2 linked regions of the Xenopus tropicalis genome follow. The protein of the gene in region 1 binds, or shares a complex with, the protein of each later gene. Links are inferred from orthologs where the notes say so. Each region holds a gene or a part of one and is shown on either strand. Other genes may lie near its edges.

Region 1 (3,827 bases):
TATACCAAACAGTGACAAGGTGCATCCTAGTGCCTCTCCTAACGCGTTTCGCACAGAGTGCTTCATCAGAGGAGGTGTGGTGTGTTGATGTCACATCCCTTTTATACCCATCCACATCTACCCTATACATTGTACAGGGTATTGCATTGAGCATATATTATAACAATATTTTAAAATATACACATTCCAGGGTTTAAAATTGCCCTGTATTCAGCATAAATTATACAGAGTCACATAAAAACCTCGTAGACATTGCAAATTTTCAAAATTCTTCTTAATCAAAAACTTTTTAACCATTATAATGGATATTATGGCCACTGTGTTAGAACATCACACCCAACATATAAAAATACAGTGAAGTTTTAAAGTGCAAATTAGTGCAAATCGATTAAAACCAGCTAAAAACTTAATACAAAACTATTTAGGAAACTAGTTGCAGGCAATACAATTTTGAGAAGGGATTCCTTCCATCCAGAGCATACTGTAAAGTCAATACCATATGCACAGTTGGTGAGACTTTATAGAAATTTCACTAATTATAAAATATTTAAAGAACAAGCGAGACAAGAGTGTGAGAGGCTCGAAGAGAGAGGATATAATAAAAATGATCTGCAAATAGCGTTACACAAAGTAGGTGACCTAATAGCAAATAGTAACAAAAATAGAGGTAAAAAAAGTAAAATGGAAACCTCCAAAACTACAAAAGTTGAAGAGATCAGGTGCATTCTAGATTTTGGGGTGCAATATAAACAAATAACTAAAGTTATTAAAAGAAACTGGAATATTTTACAGGTGGATCCAGTGTTAAAAAAGCTGAATATGAGACCAGGTGTTATAAGTAGAAAAGCAAAATCGATAGCGGGATTTATAGCCCCAAATAAATTGAAGAGAAATAACGATAGGAAAGTGACATGTTGGTTAGGTAATGTAAAAGGTTTCTTTCCATGCAAAGGTTGTAAAGCCTGTAAATATACTGGTAATAAAAAAACATTTTTCAGTAAAAATAATGATAAAGAATTTAGTATAGATACTTATATATCATGTCAAACACAGTATGTTATCTACTGCCTACAATGTGAATGTGGTTCTATATATGTGGGACGGACTATCAGACAGCTAAGAACAAGGTTAGGAGAACATCTGCGAGGACTGAAAAATAAGGATGATGATAACCCTTTATATAAACATTTTAAATATTCACATGAAGGCAAGCAGATGCAGTTTCAAATGTTTGGCATTGATAAAATAAATGAAAGAAGTGAAGGAAACCTGGTTACTAAGCTGTTGCGGTTAGAATCTAAGTGGATATTTACATTAAACACTGTAATACCAAAAGGGATGAATACAAAATTTGAATTAAAACCATTTTTAGTGTCATCCTGGAAATAATTTGTGTAGGAGAAATATGGGTTGCAACCTATAGCACTAAATAGCACCAAATGATCTTAAAGGCAATTCTTCTGGGTTTGAAAAGTGACTTATGAGTAACTGGTCGGGGTCTGAATATAAGATAAAGCGAATGAACAAAAAGAAAGAGTTTTTAGCTGGTTTTAATCGATTTGCACTAATTTGCACTTTAAAACTTCACTGTATTTTTATATGTTGGGTGTGATGTTCTAACACAGTGGCCATAATATCCATTATAATGGTTAAAAAGTTTTTGATTAAGAAGAATTTTGAAAATTTGCAATGTCTACGAGGTTTTTATGTGACTCTGTATAATTTATGCTGAATACAGGGCACTGTTTAACCCTGGAATGTGTATATTTTAAAATATTGTTATAATATATGCTCAATGCAATACCCTGTACAATGTATAGGGTAGATGTGGATGGGTATAAAAGGGATGTGACATCAACACACCACACCTCCTCTGATGAAGCACTCAGTGCGAAACGCGTTAGGAGAGGCACTAGGATGCACCTTGTCACTGTTTGGTATAGTATATATCTGAATTTGTTTTGCATTATGTTTTGAATGAATTTTTGAGCCATTAAAATGTGGTTTTATTTTCACTGAATCAATTGCTGTTATTTGTATACTATGTCAGGACCTATCAGTGAAATATAAAATGTGATTTCCTTTCCTAAATATATACTGTTGTGATTGATTAGATATAAAATGCTGGGACTGTTATCACTGTATTGTCCAGCATGCCTGGCAGTTAGGGATGCACCAAACCCAGCTTTTTGGGTTCGGATGAACCCCGAATCCATCCCAAAACAATATTTGGTGCAGTGGTTCTCAACTATGAAAATGGTCCCCTAATGGGCTCAAAACCAAAGGAGGTTGCATGAAACTTTATGGTGAATGCTTAGTTGCTATCATAGATATCTTTGGAACTGTAAGAGAATGACCATTTTATATATATGTAATTATATGTATTACAAGGTTGGGCTTTCATTTCACAAGACTGAAGACCCAGAATCTGTTTAGTAGGGGGAGTTTCACTCCGATTTAGGGTTCTTCTCAAACCCTTCTATGAAACCGAAGACATTCTCTAGCCTCATATGTTATTTCTGTGACCCAGTCACCTAAAGTAAATATAAATAAATGGAGGCCACTCACTTCACATACAAAAAAAGCAACATAGGTGTTTGGTGCAAAAAAACCCAAAACTGTATAGGGTACCGAAAGCAGTAATTTTAAATAGGATAAGGGTTTGCACACCCCAACGTTCTCGATTCCCCTAGAGAAAGGCTCTTTGCTGAAACGTTGGGGTAATTCTCATCTTTGGCAAGTGTATCCGCTATCATGCGTGTCTCTTTTTTGCCTATGCACATTTTGTGGTATGTATTATCTTATCATTTTATGTGTTATTTTCTGTAATTTTGTAATTAAAATTGTTTGCTGTTAAATCTTCTGCATATTATAGAAAGGATTTTTTTTTAATACTACCACTGTGCTTGTGTTTTCTGTGTGCAAACCCTTATCCTATTTAAAACCCAGTCACCTGAAGTCCAGGCTAAATTGACTCTCCTTCAACACAGATATTATCATTGGGTTATTTAATGCAGTTTTTATTTACAAAAACATATGGAAAAATCTCCTCTAGTAGCAAAAAGTGACACTTGACCATCTCACCATTGACATTCCTCCCGTTGCAGAAAGAAATACAGAATAACTATCGAAAGACGAAATCAGCAGGACGACTGCAACCTAGGGAAACACCGACAGCTTCGGGAAGATTCCATAAGATCTCATTTTTCTGCGGCATAAAGAATAGAAAACAAACAAAAATCTTTAGGAAGAAGCAACCAAAGACATCATTACGTGTGATGGGGTTCTTGCAGAAGCTATTTTTTAAGGCAGTAGAATCTTATTTCCATTCTCATATTGTTTTCAGAAACTCAGGAATGATCGATTAATTGCATTATGCCATGTGGCCTTTCATCTTGTGAAAAACGGGCACGGTTTGACAAGGTTATTACGATCTGTGCGTAGAAATCATTGGGCGATGTGTGTCGGACAAAGATAGGCACTTTTTTAAAAAAAAAATAATGTTCCTTTTCAACATGTTTGTCCAGAGCTTCATAGGAAAAACAAACCCAAATTGGCACACATAGTTAACACTGAAATTATTTTTTTCGACACTGAAAATTTTTGCAGAAGGAAAGGTTGTTGGAATGCAACCGCGCAATTTTGATTTGATAGTGCGCAACCTTGGCAGGTACTGGCAGCAGTACGGGTTGTATTCACTCCCATACAGTAGACGTTGTGCGGAAGAGTTAAAACGAGCACGCCGGGCCATTAAACCCAAAGCCTCTGCACGGAATATACCATTCACGTATCTTATTTCTGCTATGAATTCTCGAGGTCGATGGGTT
Region 2 (4,339 bases), on another chromosome or scaffold:
CAAGCTCAGGGAGTTTGGCGGCCATGCCCTTCAGGAAGAGAACTCTGTGGATAAGAAAATGACTTCATCCATGATATCAGCCTTATCGCTGCTATAATTACTCATTAGTTACCTTTACACGTACATTAGTTAGTGTTGCCTTTAGCCACAGAGCGCGGAGGTGGCGGAACAATGAAATACTGGTAGCGCTACTGGCACAGGAGAAAATGGAAAATACCAACTTACCGCCACTAGATGGCACTCCAGGTCTTAGCACCCCAGGCCACTCATAGCGCCAATACGGTCCAGTTTGAGTCCAAAGCAGCCCTTAGAGAGTGCTTTCTTGTTGATCCCCTTGTACTTGCGAGTATTGGGGTGCTCGTTGAGTAACCTCGCCCAAGCTGCCCGCGACCTGGTGTCGGCTCTCAAGTCGCGCAGGAGTCTGGCACGGAATTTGGGGTCGATATTTCTATCCCCTCTCTCCCCAGAGGCCAAATATTCAGCCAGCTCGTCCCCAAGCAAAGCTCGTAACGACTGCAAAGCGAAATGGGAGACAGTAGGGAGAGGTTAGCAGAGGGCAGAATAACGGTAACGCTATGTCTGTACTGAGGGGGCAGGTGGATGCGACATTTCCCACGTACACTATTTCACTATACCTGAGCTTATATAGACCTCTGTCCGATATGGCAGTCCAATGGAGAGTGGAGGCTAATACCCTCACTAATGCCCCTGAGATTGCACTGGGGCACCGCCCGCTGGCACAAACAGAAAGCGAATGGGTCACGTCTTGCACATCTCTTGCCCTCAGACAGGGGTAAATAGAGCAATAATAATAAGCGGCAGCTATATCACCCCAGATAATTCCGCTGACTAAAGCCTGGACTCTGATCTGATTCCATTATGTCATTTTGCATTGGCAGCTCCTGCTGATTTAACCTCTTCCTTGCCAAACTACTGTGAGCGTCTACTGCACCTGTTGCACAGACATTCTGCACCCATTTATCCACCTACTGCCCGAACCTTAATGGCAGGTTCCGACACAACTATATTTATATTTGCCGTGTCTAGGAGGAGACACTTTAAGGAGAGAGTGGATTCATTTTTAAGAGGACTGTTTTATAGCCGGCAGATGTGTGGGTAACATGGAGTTACCCCAGCTTTAAATATGCCAGACACCTTTTGTACTAATTCTGGGCCACTATGAACTCCATGAAACAAAAATTGTCATTCATTCATTCACCTCCCACCCCCTTACTGTGCCAGCCATTCACCTACCCTCTATCCTTGTGTTCCATAACTCCCACCATAAGTACTTCTCCCTCACCCAAATATTCATTCACTTATCCACACACTAGTGACCCCACTTTCACCCACTTACCCTATCCGACTCTGCTAACTAATGCTTTCACGAACCAAGCAACTCACTCTGTTCTGCCATTCACCTACCTACTGGCAAGCATATTCATTCATCCACTCTTCCATGGCCTTAATAATGCCTCAAGTCATTACCCGTGTTTCACTCATTCTCCCATCACTAACCTATTCCCTCACCCATGCATTCGATAATCTCAACCATCAAGTCACTCACCCGTCACCAACTCGCAATATCTCTTTTACCTAGCGACCCACACACACTAAAGGTGGCCATACACGCACCGATATTATCGTACGAAACCTCGTTTCGTACGATAATCGGTGCGTGTATGGCATGTCAGCGAGCCGACCGATATCGCAGGAAGCTGCTGAAATCGGTCGGCTCGCCGATCGGCCAAACTCCTCCACTTTATCACCCACCCATCGGCTGACTTTCTATTCTGCTTCTCCCACCCATTCTAGCCCTGAACGGTTCTCTCATTCTGTCACTTACAAATGATTCCATTCCATCCCTCACCATTTCTCTTTTCAGTCACTAACTCTCCCATTCAGTAGCCGGTTCCCCAATTAAACAGGAGCAAGAATAGCTGTATACTTTCATGTGTGCCAGTCAATGATTCCTTCACCTGAAGAGATAGAACTACTTCATGCAGAAGCCAGATTGGAAATAGCTAATCAGTATAGATTGCACCCTTGGGGTAAGGTTACCTCAGGTCACAATAGTGATTTTTTTTATATATCATAACATAAATCAAATTACGCTGATAGGGAACAGTTACCCCAGTGATGTTGCCTGTTATCCCTAGCGTTCGCCCTTGCCTCTCCATCCATGAATGTATTAGTTAGATCGGAGCAGTAGCCATGCACCTAGGTGCCAGTACATCCCCTGGTACCCACACTGACTCCTACAGAGCTCACTCAGTGGCCCGGTAACGGCTCCACTCCTACTATGTACTCCTGCTTTCACTCCAAAACACACATTAGCAGGGCAAACAGCATGGCAACATGGATGACTTGGTTAGCAGTTTAGTTAAATGCTGCATACCCAGCTATATTATTTTAATCATTGGCACCGAATGCGCCAGAGCAGCGCAAGTCAAATTAAATGAATGCACTTCTGCATTCTTATTCATACGCATATGCACAACAGGGCAAAGCCAGCGTACTACTGCGCCCTATCCACAGGCAGTGCCAAATCTGAACAGTTTTGTACCCTGCCGCTTGTCAGGTCTCTGCGCTCTCTCCCTCTCTCTAGCCTTCCTATGTCTGGGTGCCCAGCACTGGTACTACATTTTCACCTTGCAACTGATTCATGTACACCTGCCCCTTTGCCCAGAGTAGATGGACTAGTGGAGACTGCACAGGCGGACTAGTGGCCGGTCTCTGGGTTCGCACAGCCGGACTAGCGCCCATTCCCTAGGGACTGCACAGTAGCTGGGAGACGTTTAGAGGAAGGAGGGGCAGATGCTGAAAGTGAGAAGGAGAATGCAGAAAGTTCGCTCCCAGGTGAGCACTTACCTTCTGGTGTGGCTGAACTGCAGGTTTCGCTTCCACCCTGACACACAGCACGGCCAGCATAATTCCCCAGCCCAGAATGAGAGACACATGCATCCTGACTCTGGGATTTAGCCTTTTCAGCATACAAAAATCCCCAAGTGTTACTGTAATAAAAACACAACTAGCAGAAAATCTGGAGTTGGCTGCGAGTCACCCCTCCTCCTCCTCCTGCTGCTGCTGCTGCTCCTGTAAGACTGTGAACTGATATCAACACCCCATTCATTTTATAAAGCATCTGGTGACGTCACCCTAGAGATAGGAGGTAGAGCACCCACCGCTTGGGGTTACCCTCTAACTCATTTTCTCATGATACATTGCATGTCCCAGCCAGGTCATTAGTTTACTTTCTAGGACTTTTTTTTGGATGGGTTTTAAAGGATTTTATATCAGTTAGGGATCACTCCTGTGGCTCCAAACAACTTATCCCATTACACATACAGACATATATATATATAGAGAGAGAGAGAAAGAAATATTATATAGATAGAGACATATATAGATAGATATTATATAGAGACATATATAGATAGATATATAGAGCGATATATAGATAGATATATAGAGACATATATAGATAGATATTATGTAGATAGAGACATATATAGATAGATGCTATATAGATAGAGACATATATAGATAGATAGAGAGATATATAAATAGATGATGATAGATATGCGTGCCTCTGTGTGTGTATATAGTTATCTGGCACTTTCAGGAAATATATATATCTTTGTGAGTCTTTGTGTGTGTAGTTATATATGTATGTATAGTTATCTGGTACTACCAGGTAATAGATACCTACGTTTGCCTCTGTGTGTGTGTATATATAGTTATCTGACACTTTTAGGCAATTTATAAACCTATGTGTGTCTTTCTGTGTGTATATAGTTATATATGACTGTATATGCATGTGTATACAGTTATGTGGCACTCCCACGCCATATATATGTGTGTATGTTTACAATTAACCCATATATACATAAAGTATACGTATACATATATTCATACATATATATGCACATATACACACATAAGCTAATGCTCATTTGTTTGGAACTGGACTTTCTCAGAATCATCTCTTTCAAAATACATTTCAATACCAGGTCCAACCAAGCTGTTTTGTGACTTATGGGGGAGTATGCTTCGTACTTATTCTGTAACACTTGGGCACCAGAAGGGCTGTACCTGGCTGCAGTGCTCAGTATCACATTCGCGGTGTAAATGACTAGTTTTGTGTTTGAGCGCTTTTATTTGGGGGCTGTAGAGGAGCCATGGGTTTTGCCATTGCAGCCACAGACTCCCCTCCCTGACATTGCTGCGCTCTTTGCTTGATGCCTTTGGCAGCTCTGTTTACATTCTCAGTGCCGCCACTTGTTCCAATACCTCTGGGAAAGTCAGGTAGAAAGCGGGAGATTCTTGCCTTGTACAA

The links.
Region 2: the proteins of npr3 (region 1) and nppc are in contact, whole or in part, in a crystal structure (PDB 1JDP), measured with the Homo sapiens proteins. The link is inferred for Xenopus tropicalis from reciprocal best matches to the Homo sapiens genes NPR3 and NPPC. Residues at the interface, in NP_001191304.1 of Homo sapiens: Asn110, Tyr138, Ala141, Pro142, Arg145, Ala161, Gly163, Phe164, His166, Glu170, Tyr171, Tyr204, Lys208, Leu209, Arg211, Tyr214, Phe215, Leu217, Glu218, His221, Glu222, Gln225, Ile233; in NP_077720.1 of Homo sapiens: Gly109, Cys110, Phe111, Gly112, Leu113, Lys114, Leu115, Asp116, Arg117, Ile118, Gly119, Ser120, Met121, Ser122, Gly123, Leu124, Gly125, Cys126.

What each region holds. Positions count from the first base shown.
Region 1 is NC_030677.2:200,603,236-200,607,062, reverse strand, and holds part of npr3 (atrial natriuretic peptide receptor 3), read left to right. Parts: intron 1-3,107; coding exon 3,108-3,219; 3' UTR 3,220-3,827. UniProt on the Homo sapiens protein: Receptor for the natriuretic peptide hormones, binding with similar affinities atrial natriuretic peptide NPPA/ANP, brain natriuretic peptide NPPB/BNP, and C-type natriuretic peptide NPPC/CNP.
Region 2 is NC_030681.2:101,241,962-101,246,300, forward strand, and holds the start of nppc (C-type natriuretic peptide precursor), read right to left. Parts: upstream 3,089-4,339; 5' UTR 2,965-3,088; coding exon 2,872-2,964; intron 514-2,871; coding exon 250-513; 3' UTR 226-249; intron 1-225.